3 linked regions of the Oryctolagus cuniculus genome follow. Each later gene encodes a partner of the first gene's protein in a complex. Links are inferred from orthologs where the notes say so. Each region holds a gene or a part of one and is shown on either strand. Other genes may lie near its edges.

The links.
Region 2: TFDP1 (region 1) and MYBL2 share a complex: the UniProt entries of both Homo sapiens proteins name them as parts of the DREAM complex. The link is inferred for Oryctolagus cuniculus from reciprocal best matches to the Homo sapiens genes TFDP1 and MYBL2.
Region 3: the proteins of TFDP1 (region 1) and RB1 are in contact, whole or in part, in a crystal structure (PDB 2AZE), measured with the Homo sapiens proteins. The link is inferred for Oryctolagus cuniculus from reciprocal best matches to the Homo sapiens genes TFDP1 and RB1. Residues at the interface, in NP_009042.1 of Homo sapiens: Gln222, Glu225, Leu226, Gln229, Ile262, Val271, Asp273, Asp288, Asn289, Thr290, Phe291, Glu292, Ile293, His294, Asp295, Glu298, Arg302; in NP_000312.2 of Homo sapiens: Ile835, Ser838, Phe839, Thr841, Ser842, Phe845, Gln846, Ile848, Asn849, Val852, Cys853, Asn854, Ser855, Val858, Leu859, Lys860, Arg861.

The regions. Positions count from the first base shown.
Region 1 is NC_091440.1:500,478-504,982, forward strand, and holds the start of TFDP1 (transcription factor Dp-1), read right to left. Parts: upstream 2,990-4,505; 5' UTR 2,908-2,989; intron 2,897-2,907; exon of another isoform or gene 2,758-2,896; intron 2,562-2,757; exon of another isoform or gene 2,538-2,561; intron 2,165-2,537; exon of another isoform or gene 2,143-2,164; intron 1,928-2,142; 5' UTR 1,867-1,927; coding exon 1,855-1,866; intron 1-1,854. UniProt on the Homo sapiens protein: Can stimulate E2F-dependent transcription.
Region 2 is NC_091442.1:15,288,375-15,292,126, forward strand, and holds part of MYBL2 (myb-related protein B), read right to left. Parts: intron 1,426-3,752; coding exon 1,354-1,425; intron 575-1,353; coding exon 482-574; intron 1-481. UniProt on the Homo sapiens protein: Transcription factor involved in the regulation of cell survival, proliferation, and differentiation. Transactivates the expression of the CLU gene.
Region 3 is NC_091440.1:67,476,162-67,479,796, reverse strand, and holds part of RB1 (retinoblastoma-associated protein), read right to left. Parts: intron 1,877-3,635; coding exon 1,734-1,876; intron 1,235-1,733; coding exon 1,185-1,234; intron 1-1,184. UniProt on the Homo sapiens protein: Tumor suppressor that is a key regulator of the G1/S transition of the cell cycle. The hypophosphorylated form binds transcription regulators of the E2F family, preventing transcription of E2F-responsive genes.

The DNA of each region.
Region 1 (4,505 bases):
TCCTGTGCCAGCCCCTCAGGCAGCCCTGCAGGTGCCAAGTGCATCTCCTTCCTGTCGGCCCTGATGTACCCGTCACCCCGGAGCAGCCACCACAGGCTGTGGCCAGCACGCACCCTCCCGGCCCACGGGCCCAGAAAGGGCTCACAGGATGACGAGGACGAACAGAGACCATCGTTCCTCACACACACCCCAGAGGCCACACAGAGGCCTGTGCGATCAGAAGCTGCTCATGACCGCAGAAATCACCGCATGAGATGAGCAGGGGGCACCAAAAACTAGCTTAGGGGCCCCCAGCGGGCTCTGGGCCCCTCAATTCACACCAGAGGGCCCACTCTGCAACAACCTCATCAGGCAACCTGTGCACAACACAGCCACTGGCCCCCCACGGGCCCTCACCCTTGCTGGTCGCCCATCCACCCTCCAGCATCACCTGCCCACAGCCTCCATTTCCAGCTTGTCCCCGACACCCTGACTTCTTGTCTGCAGAACACGGAGGCCACCCTGCCATTCTGCCCTGCCAGCTGCATCTCAGCCCGTGAGACCCTGCCACCGCCTAAGAGCACGTGGATGACAAGAAAGCAGCGTCACCAGCCACGGGACCAGCACAGCCCTTGTCTGTAGAACACGGAGGCCACCTTGCCAGTCTGCCCCACAGCCACTCCTCAGCCCGTGAGACCCTGCCACCTCCCAACAGCACACACTCCGAGTCCTTCAAATGCAACGATGACCAGCTAGGGGGCCAGCACAGCCCGTGCCCTGGCCCGGCGACCTTGCTGGGGTGGCGGGGTCCCCCTCCTCCAGCACCTGTCTGTCCTTCCCTCCCACGCCTCTCTCCGTGCCACACAGACGGTGCCAGCCACACCAACGTGGAACCACAAAGGGCTTCGAAGATGACATCAGTGAGTATCTAAGCATTTAAAGAGACGAGAGCAAACTGGTCCAGAAACCAGAAGCATGCGGCTGGGCATGGGTCTGGCACCACCCTTTCTGGGCAACTGTGGGAGTCCAGCTGCTTCGGGGCACCTGCCACATGTTGGCACCTCCAGGAGTGATGGCACCAACCAAATGACAGCAGTTTTAAAATGAACATCAAACCAAAACCCTGCACACAGCGCCCGGAGGGCTGCGCGCCTCCCTGCGCAGGCCTGCATCCGAGGACAGGGAGCCCCTGACCGGCACAGACAGAGGACGCGGCTCAGGAAGTTCGGGAAATCTGAGCTGACAGAAGGCGCTCCAAAGCCACCCAACCTGCAGTCGCGCACAGAGGCAGCAGGACCAGCCTGCTTCCAGCTCTATGCAGGAGACGAGCACGCAGCCCGTCTGCACCAGTGTGCAAAGACCCCGCGTTTCAGGGAATCTGACGGCATGATGGGAAACTCAGTTCATTCTTGGACCTAAGAGCCTATTTCTCCACCCAACTTTAAAAAGTTACCGAGAAGGGGATGGTATTGTGGCACGCAGAGGGTTCAGTGGGCACCTGCAATGCCAGCATCCCATAGGAGCACCAGTTCAAGTCCCGGCTGCTCTGCTTCTGCTCCAGCTTCCTGCTAATGCGCCTGGGAGGGCAGAAGATGGCCCAACTGCCTGGGCCTCTGTCATCAGGCTGGGAGACCCAGATGAAACTGTTGGCTTTGGCCCGACCCAGATGTGGCTATGTGGCCATATGGCCATCTGGGGAGTGAACCGGCTAATGGAAGCTCTCCCTCTGTCTCTCACCCTTCCAAATAAACAAACCAACCTCTCTTAAAAAGCCAGGAAATACTAATAACTCAGGTTTTGCCCCTCTGACAAAGGCACAAACAGGAGGGGCTGGTGCCAGGCACAGGTGTTTGAGCATTAAGCAAAGGTACTCACATCTTTTGCCATGTTACCAGGTCCAGGAAACCAATGCTATCAACATTCACTCTCCAAGGAAGAAAAGACTTTTCTGGTTAAAAAAAAAAAAAAGAGAGAGAAAAAAGAAAAATGAGCAAGGATGAAAAACTAAGTTTACAAGATGTCCCACTTTAAAGGAGACGTCTCCCCCGCCTGCACGAGGGCCTGGCGGCTGAGATTTCTCGCTAGAGCCTGGACGCAAGGCTCTCGCAGCGCTCGCCACCCTCAGACCCCGCGAGCAGCCCGGAACCCCCCCGCCCCGCGCACCCCAAATGGCCGGTCCGGAGGCGAGACCGCGGTGAGCCCGGGGCGCGCTGCCCGCCTCCGCAGGGTGGGCTTGGGTCCCCCACTTAGGCGCACACGACCACCCAACAGGGCACAGCCCAAACGTGCAAGTTCCCAGGTCTTCCCCCGGACCCTCCAGGGGCTGCGCGCCGGGCTGCTCGGCCGCCGACCGGTAACTCTGACAGGTGGGCTCTCGGGTCCCCGCCCGCTGCGATCTGTCACTAGGCCGCAGCCACCGCGCGCACTCCAGCCCCGCGGCGCCTCCCGCCCCGCCCCGCGCGGCCCGGCCCCGACCCCGACCCCGACCCCCAAGGCGCGGGCGCGGCCATCGGCCCCGGAGGCCAGGCCCCGTACCCCCGCCCGCCCCGCCCGGTCACCTGGGAGCCCCCGCCCGCAGCAAGGGCGCCTGGCGCGGGGCCCCGGCGCCCAGGAGCGCGCGGGGCCCGGAGGGCGCGGGAGGGCCGGGGCCGCGCGGCGCCCGCACGCGGCGGGGACGCAGCTCGGGGGCCGCCGCCCGCCCGCGCCCCGCGTGGCCCGCGCCCCGCGCTCGCCCGGCCCCGTCGCGCCGGCTCCCACCGCATCCTCCGCCGCCCGCACCTGGCTCGCCCGGTATGGCCGCGCAGTCTGGGGCGCGGGCCGCGCGGGGACACGGCCGCGGGGCGCGGGCGGGCGGCGGGGGCCGGGCGGCGCTCCCGGCCCTGGCGGGGTCCCTGCCCTGGGCCAGCGGCGCCGGGACGCGGGGCTCACCCTGGCCGAGCGTCGGGCCGGCGTGACGTGCGCGCGGCGCGGTGACGTGGGCGGCGGCGGGCCCGCTCCGCGCAGCGCGCCTGCGCGCATTTTCGCGCCTTCGGAGCCCTCCTCCTCCTCGGCGCCCTCCTCCTCCTCCGCCCCTCCTGCTCCCGCTCCTCCCGCCGGCGCTGCCGCCCTGGGGGAGGGGAGGGCCGTGCGCGCGTGTTCGAGCCTGCGCGTGCGCCGGACGGGATGGAGCCAGCCGGCGCTAGGGATGCGCGCGCGGGTCAGAGGGGCCACGTGTGTGCGCGCATGAGTGTGTGTGTGTGTGTGTGTGTGTGTGTGTGTATGCACGGAGCGAGACTGTGGGAGGAGACCCAAGCTGTGTGTGCGCACACAGAGCTGCAAGGGGGCCGGGGTGGGGGGCAGAGCTGGAGGCGAGACATGGGTGTAGGGGGTGGAGAGGAGGCACCTGCAGGGCAGGAGGCCAAGAGCACTTGCTGTGTGCATGGAAAAGGGGGCCAGTTGTGTGCTCGCCTGTGTGCATGGGGCTGGGGCTGCTGTGTACACCAGTGCGTGTGCACAGGGAGGAGAAGGGGTCAGGTGCAAGTGTGCACGTGGAGGAGTAGCAGATGGAGGCAAGCCAAGCGCGAGGGTGCCGCACAGACCAGGGTCCTGGGCGCGTTGGTTTGCATGGATGCAGGGGTGGAGGCAGGCGCTGAGCTGGCGCAGGTGTCTGGGCAGGGAGGGGAGGGGAGGGGAGGTCTCCAGCCCTGCTCCGCATCCCGGCGGCTTCCTCACAGAGTCCCAGCGACTCCACACCTCCTGGGCGCCAGGGCAGGCAGCCTTTCCACGGAGAGTGGAACTGGGCCCTGCCCTGCAGACACAGCTGTCACCTAGGGCTGGCGGCAGGCTGTGGAGGCCGGTCCCGAGCCCAGGCTGCACGGAGTCCCACACAGCCATAACAAGGGCTCTCCCACCCTGCACCCCTCTGCACACCTCCAAGTCCCACCCCATCCACACCCACTGCACCCACTCCTGCCCAGGAGAGCCCCACCCTGGCAGCCTGTCCTCTGTGCCAGCAGTTCGGTTTCTTTGTGGCAGAAACCTTCCTGTCTGGTTAGCACACAGTAGGTCCTTAGAGAAGGTTGATGGGGCTGGGGGGAGCGGTGTTTGGCCCAGGGATGAGGACACTGATCATGTCACCTGAACCCCACAGGGCTTCAAGGCCCAGCTCTGCCTCTGACCCCTAATCTGCACCCTTGGAGGCAGCAGGTGATGGCTCAAGTACCTGGGTCTCTGCCACCACATGGGGGACCTGGATGGAGTTCTTGGTTCCTGGCTTCTGCCTGGCCCAGCCCTGGCTGTTGTGGGCAGACTGAAGATCTCTGTCTCGCACACTCCTTCTCCCTCTGCCTTTCAAAGAGATAAGTAGAATAAGACAGCTCCTGACTCCAGTCGTGGGCGGCAGTGCTGAGAGCCCAGGAGCTGGGTGCCCACCACCCACGTGAGTGCCCTGCTAGGCTGGTGCACAGCCACGTGGGCATCTGGGAGTGAGCCAGGGGTGGGGCAGTCCCTCCCGCTCTCCCTCCGTCCCCCCGCCTCTAAGATCAAAA
Region 2 (3,752 bases), on another chromosome or scaffold:
AAGACCTTTCTCTCTGTCTCTCTCTCTCACTGTCCACTCTGCCTGTCAAAAAAAAATAAATTAAAAAAAAAAAAAAAAAAAAAAAAAAAAAAAAAAAAGGACACAGCATTTACAAGGCTCAGTGCCCAGGAAAACGGTTCACCAGGCACAGTCACCGTTATAACAAGAAAATAGCACCTGCCACCCTCTGTAAGCTCAGCTGGTGCAGGGACCACACAAACCCCTCCCGTGCATCACCTGTCCAACCTTCACAAAAACCCTACTGCAGGGACCAAGAAGCTGAGTGTTCTGCCCAACAGCCCCAGCTCCTGATTGCAGACCCTCTGGATCAGGACCTGGGGCCTCGAACTGGACACCTGGGGACACCCGGGCTGATCGCAGGCTGGCTCACTCCCAGGTTCATGTGCATGGACATGCCCACAACGGTGCCTGCTGCCCTGCAGGTGGGTGAAGGCCCACTGAATACAGGTGGCTGAGTTACCTTCTGGTCCTCCTCTTTGGTCCAGGGCCCCTTGACAAGATCTGGATTCAAAACTCTCAGCCACCGGTACTGGCATTGCTGGTCAGTGCGGTTCTGGGAAGTGAACAGGAAGAACATTCAGGAATCTGTGAGAACTCCTGATCCATGGGCTGGGACCCTTTGGAGCACTGGGCTCAGGGGTTCAGGGCCCAGTGTATGCCACCACCACCACCCCCACCACACACTGCAGGCCCACACACGAGGACACGCGTGGCTTCCCTTTGCTGCAGACGGGGACAGGTTCGGGCCCCTGTAGAAGATCACCTCCCACTACCCACACAGGCAGCCACCCCTGCCAAGCCTGTAACAGACTCATGAGGTTCCAGATCCCTGCTTTCTTTTGGGAGAGTGTTTCTATTTCTGAAGCACCACACGGATGAAAAGCAGATGAACAAAGTGGACAAAAGGGCTCTGGTGGCTCCGACCTCTAGTGGCCCTGGGGACCCAGGCAGTAAGCCAGAGAGCAGACACCTGCAGCCTGGGGGTGGGGTGGCTGCAGGGCCTTACTGTGCAGCCGCAGCCGGCGGAAGCACCACCTGCCCCCAGCTGCAGCCTCACTGTTGAGGAACCCAGCACCCATCCGCTCCAGCAGTGCACGAAGCAATGCAAATAAGCATGTCACTGGCCACAGCTACAAACCCCGCAAAGCCCCGGACACACGAGGCAGCTGTGGGCAGAGGCTTCGCCTCTGGGAAGCAAGGTCCCATGAACACAGTCGTCTTTTACGTGGTTCTCCTTCGGAGGGAACTGGTAAGAACTCCCTCGCCTTCTCCCTGGCAGGAAGCTTGTCCCCGGCACAGTGGTAGGTCGGCGAGAACCCCTGCCATACTCACAGGAAAGTGGCTGGCCAGGAACTTCCAATCCTGCTGTCCGAACTGCCTCACCAGGGCCCTCAGCTGCTCATCCTGCCAACACGAGGAAGACAGAGCTCAGCGCACACTGTGCAGGAGGCCGCCTCCCAGGCGCCCCCAACAGTAGCCCCTCCAAGAACAGCTCCGTCCTTCCATCCCGGCTTAAAATGACCACCTACTGCGCGCCAGGAATGGCAGTCACAGCGGCAGGCAGCAACCCTGAGGGGCTTATGGTCTAGGGAGAGCTCATCGAAAGCTCAGAGACACAAAGAGATGCACAGTAATGGGAACGCAAAGCTGGAACACTGGACTCAAGTGAACAAGGGACGCGAGATGGTTCTGGAGGGACGGCAGGGACCAGGCCTCATGCAAAACTGACGCCTCTGCAGCAGGCTAAGCCACCGCGGCATCTGAGCAGTGAGCATTTACGGTCCAATGGCTTGTGACAAGGGCTCCAACGTGCTTGCTGCAAGGCAGGAAAGGGGATGGAAGGAGGCAGAGTGGACATGCGAGGCCAATACTGCACCCAGGCCCGGGGTGACAGGACTCGGCTCTGGAGGTGGGGTAGCCATGGGCAGAACTGAGAGCAGGCAGAAGACACGTTCTCCTGAAGAGGAGCTACTGTCACACAACGTGCATCTCGGGATCCTGATAGGTCAGACATAAACGGGGACATACCGGATCATTCCACGCACACGGAATCTAGAAGATGTGAACTAAGATACAGGAACAAAAAGGAAGCCAGTGGTCGGACAAAAGAGACAGCAAGGAGAGCGAGGACTGTGTTGGGGGTAGTGGAATGTTCTGGAACGTGACTGCTGCTATTCGTGGCTGTAAACAAGCACCTGTGAAATTCACTGAGCTGTACGTCGAACGGCAGTTGATTGTATATAAAGTATTTCTCAATTTTATAGAAATAAAATATATAGGAGTATTTGGAATAGCAGTTAAGATGGCACTTGGGGGGCCTGGCGCTGTGGTGTAGCAGGTAAAGCTACTGCCAGCAGTGCCAGCATCCCATATGGGCACCGGTTCAAGTCCCAGCTGCTCCATTTCCAACGATGCTCCCTGCTAATGTGCCTGGGAAAACAGTGGAGGATGGCCCAAGTCCTTGGGCCCCCGCACCCGCATGCGAATCCTGGAAGAAGCTCCAGGCTCCTGGCTTCAGACCAGCCCAGCTCCAACTGTAGTGGGCATTTGGAGAGTAAACCAGCAGATAGAAGATTTCTCTGTCTCTCTGCCTCTCTGTAACTCTGCCTTTCAAATAAATAAATAAATAAATCTTAAAAAAAAAAAAATATGTCACTTGGGACACACTTTCTCATATCAGAGTGCCTGAGTTCAAATCCCAGCTCTGCTCCTATTCCAGCTTCCTGCTAACAATGTGTACTCTGGCTCAAGTACTTGAGTCCCTGACACCCATGCAGGAGACTTGAATGAAATTCCTGGCTCCTGGTTTTGGTCTGGCCCAGCCCCAGCTGTTAGAGGCATTGAGAGTAAATCAGCATATGGAAGATTTCTGTCTAATAAGTAAAATTTTTAAAAAATATGATATACACAAAGAAAACATGGTAAAGACATCAATGAAATATGACCCAGTCTTAAAAAAAAAATGAAGAAAAACAGAGGCTAATGTGGCACAACGGATTAAACCACCACTTGCCACACCAGCATCTCATATCAAAGTGTGGGTTCGAGTCCCGGGCTATTCGGCCCCGACGCAGCTTCCTGCTAATGTGACTAGCAGAGCAGGAGACGGCTCAGGCCCCTGCACCCACGTGCAAGACCTGGATGGAGCTCTGAGCTCCTGGCTTCTGCCTGGTCCAGCCCCAGCTGTCAACAGCAATTCGGGGAATGAGCCAGTGGATGGAAGCTCTGTCTCTCTTGCTCTGTCACTCTGCCATTTGAATAAGTAAATAAACAAATCTCTAATTAAAAAGAAGGCAAACTAAAAAAAAAAAAAAAAAAAAAAAAAAAAGGAAATTCTGAAACATACTAGATGGAACAGGGACAACCCTTGAGGACATTTTGTTCCATGAAATAAGCCAGTCACAAAAGGACAAGTACTGTGTGCTTCCAGTCACGAGGTACCGAGAGCAGTCAAAGCCACAGAAACAGAAAGCAGGCACCTAGCAGCCAAGGGCTGGGGAGAGAATTAGTGCCCAAAAGGTAAGAGTTCCATTTCTCAGAAAACAGAAAGCTTCCTAAGATCTGCTGCCCCGTAGACCATGGGGAATACTTAACACTGCCATACTGTGCCCTGAGAAAGGGTTAAGGCCAGGGCTGGGCCAGGCTGAAGCCAGGACTAGAACTCCATCCAGGTCTCCCAGATGGGCACAGGGGCCCAAGCACCTGTGCCATTTCCCACACTGCTTTCCCAG
Region 3 (3,635 bases), about 67 Mb from region 1:
TAACTCTCCAAATGTATATCGCTCTAAGTAACTGAGAAAATAGCTATTGAAATTCTGATTTCTAGTAATAAACAGGACTTCTGTTTGAAATTATGTTTTAAAGTTTGCAAATTAACAAAGCTCAATAATAGCAGAATAAAATATATTTGTAAAAATTTTATTTGAGGGGTAGAGAAACTGAGAGAATGGGCTTCCCAACCACTATTCACTCCCCAAGTGCCCACAACAGCTGGGGCTGGACCTTGCAAGCCAGGAGTAGGCTGAGAACTCAATTCAGGTCTCCCACATGTATGACAGGGACCAAATCTGTGAGCCATCACTGTGTGCATTAGCAGGAAGCTGGAATCAGGAGCCAGAGCCAGGTATTGAACCCAGATCCTCCAAAACAGGACATGGGTGTCTTCACCAGTATCTTTAACCTCTAGGCTAAATGTCTAATCCTAAAAGATCATTCTTTAAATAAAGGTGATAAAGTTTAAATACGATAGGTTTCTAAAACCTTTTCCTGTACCAAACAGTCTTAAAAATTTCCTCATTGGGCTGGTGCCGTAGCACAGTAGGTTAATCCTCTGCCTGTGGTGCCAGCATCCCAAATGGGCGCCAGTTCAAGTCCCTACTACTCCTCTTCCAATCCAGCTCTCTGCTATGGCCTGGGAAAACAGTAAAAGATGGCCCAAGTGCTTGGGCCCCTGCATCCACATGGGAGACCCGGAAGAGGCTCCTGGCTCCTGGCTTTGGTTCAGCGCAGCTCCGGCCGTTGTGGCCATTTGGGGAGTGAACCAATGGAAGGAAGACCTTTCTCTCTGTTTCTCCCTCTTACTGTCTGTAACTCTACCTCTCAAATAAATAAATAATCTTTTTTTAAAAAAAAGAGTTCCTCATTACAATTCTGAAGTATTTTCCAACAGTCATTTTGTGTTGAAGATGTAGTCAAGCAGGATTTCACTTCTTAGTGTTCCTACACCAAGGATTTTAGAAGGGGTGAAGACATCCTTCACGTTGCTTCATACTCAATCACTAATGTTTACAGGTACATAATATGGTCTTGATTTACACTTTAAATGCATAAAAGAGTCTGCTAGTTGAAAGAAATATGTATATGTATATTCTTTAATAAAGTAAAAAGACTGCAAGATAATCAATTTCTTCTTTCATTTACATAAGGTCAGATGATAAGTACTTACTCATTTCTGCAAGTTTCTGTTGAAATTTGGACTCCCCTGGAATATGTTTACTGCAGATTAAAAAAATACAAAATACTTAATTTATACATGTATAAATGGAAAACTCAAATTTCCAGTAACTGTATTGCTTTCAATGATTTATTTTATGTTATTTCTTTGTGAGTAGCTTTTAATTTCAAAGATTTATAAACTAACTATTTAAAATATAAATGCCAAAAATTTGATCCCATATATTTTCCAGTATTTTTCTAAACACTTTTAAATCTAATGTTAAAACTAACAAAATTTTATCAATAGCTTTGTAAAAAAAAAAAACAAAAACAGATCTTTAATGCCTGATATCTTCTCTGAATTTTGGAAGACAGTAGTATAATACTTGTTTAGTGTTTTTAACTTTGGGCTACATTCATAGCTATTATTTTGAGCCATTCTCACAATTTCCAAATGAAATTGGCTTGGAAGGAATTGGTAGGAGCGGGACGAGAGCTAGACTCAGGGTTTCCAGATGACTGGCTCCACTCCTGGGAAACATCCTGAAGTGGTTCCTACCTTCCATCGGCTTCATCCGTTCCTTCAATATCAAAACGCAGTTTTTTCAGGGGTTTGGGAGGGTTGCTTCCTTCAGCACTTCTTTTGAGCACTCGATCGCTGTTACATACCATCTGGTTTATTTTCTGGAACTTCTCAGAAGTCTACAAATTACAGAATTCTTTAAATCATTAGGTGGCAGCGTTTTATAGTTAGCAACCCCAAACTGTAGTTCTTTTTTTTTTTTTTTTTTAAAGATTTTATTTATTTACCTGGGAAGTAGGGTTACAGACAGAAAGAGGGAGAGACAGAAAGGTCTTCCATCCACTGTTCACTCTCAAATGGCCACTATGGCTGAATCTGGACAGATCTGAAGCCAGGAGCCAAGAGCTTCTTGCAGGTCTCCCACATGGGTACAGGGGCCCAAGCACTCAGGCCATCTTCCACTACTTTCCTGGGTTATAGCAGAGAGCTGGACCGGAAAAGGAGCATCTGAGACTCAAACTGGCACCCATATGGGATGCTGGTACCACAGGCGGAGGTTTAGCCTACTACCACAGCGCCGGCCCCCAAACTGTAGTTTTAAAGGGTGTCAAAAAAGCAGGCAGAGGTAATCTCTTCATTTTAATTTTTTACTCTACTGGACCAAGTTAAAGGTATGAAAAATTTCAAAATCAGAGTAAACTGTACCTAATTCTGTCCCAGCCACTCTTTGTAAATCCTCCTGTCTTTTCCCATGAGGCTCCCACTCTTTCTCAACAACCCTGACCACCCCAGTGGAAGCCCTGGTTCCTCATTTTCAGAACTCACCCACACACAGAAGCAGGGCAACTTCTAAGAAGCAGCCAAAGTTGGAACAATAGACCTGGTTTCTGTTAGCTTTTTTTTTTTTAAGAATATTATATAACTAGAGGGATAGTCACAGGAATTTGATAAGAGGGGATGGGTTCGGTGGATACTTTTTAATTCACTTAATGGGTATTATGTTGATAAGTCATATAGTTTACATATTTTAAACTATCAATCTATGGTATTTGTTGAAATGCTGCTAATTCATAAAGTATAAAAAATTTAAAAAATCCCAAGAACTACAGAAATTAAGTGTACCAGGAGTGTGTGTGTGTGTCCCCTAAGGGAGAATCCTGAGACAGCAAAGCAAAAACCTTTGGTAAGAAACACTAACGTGGGGACTGGCAAAGTAATAGAAACACACATTGCATGTGGGACTGAATTAATAACATTAACAGGAGGCAATTAGAGTAGTGAGTTCTCAGGCTAGAATTAACTTTCAAAGTTAAGCTTTCCCTTGGATCTCTTAGAACAAAGATTAGCATACCTAGGCCCTGCCATTTTTACTGAGGCGGGGATGCATGTAACCAATTCCTAGTCAATATTCCAGGGAAAGACTATCCTAGAAGCTTGAAAGGAAGAACAAACAAAAGAGTACACACAAATATATGGAATGAGAAGACCAGTGGTGACATCTGATTGTGGTGCTTACAGTTTGAAGTATCTCATTTCAAATCATAATCATATTAGTGAGTTTCAAAACTATTTTGTAAACATTTCTGTGGGATTATATACATACACATGTGCTATCACAGAAAGATTTTTAGTCTTTGTCCTGGGTTCCTGGGACAGGGCTCTAATACTCTTGGAACTTCCTGAATGATAAGGGTGATAGGACCATCTTTGTTCAATGCTTTTTGGGCTCCTAGATAGCAGCAGGATGGGGGCTGGTCACCAGAAACACCAAGCCTTGACTTGGCACTTTCAGTGACACACCCATAACCTTCAGGGAGGGGTGAGGGGCTAGAGACCCTGTTTATCAATTATACCTATATAATCAAACCCCATAAAAATTCCTCAACAACAAGGTTGAGAAAGTATTGGAGTCAGTGAATTCCACAGGGACAGAAGCTC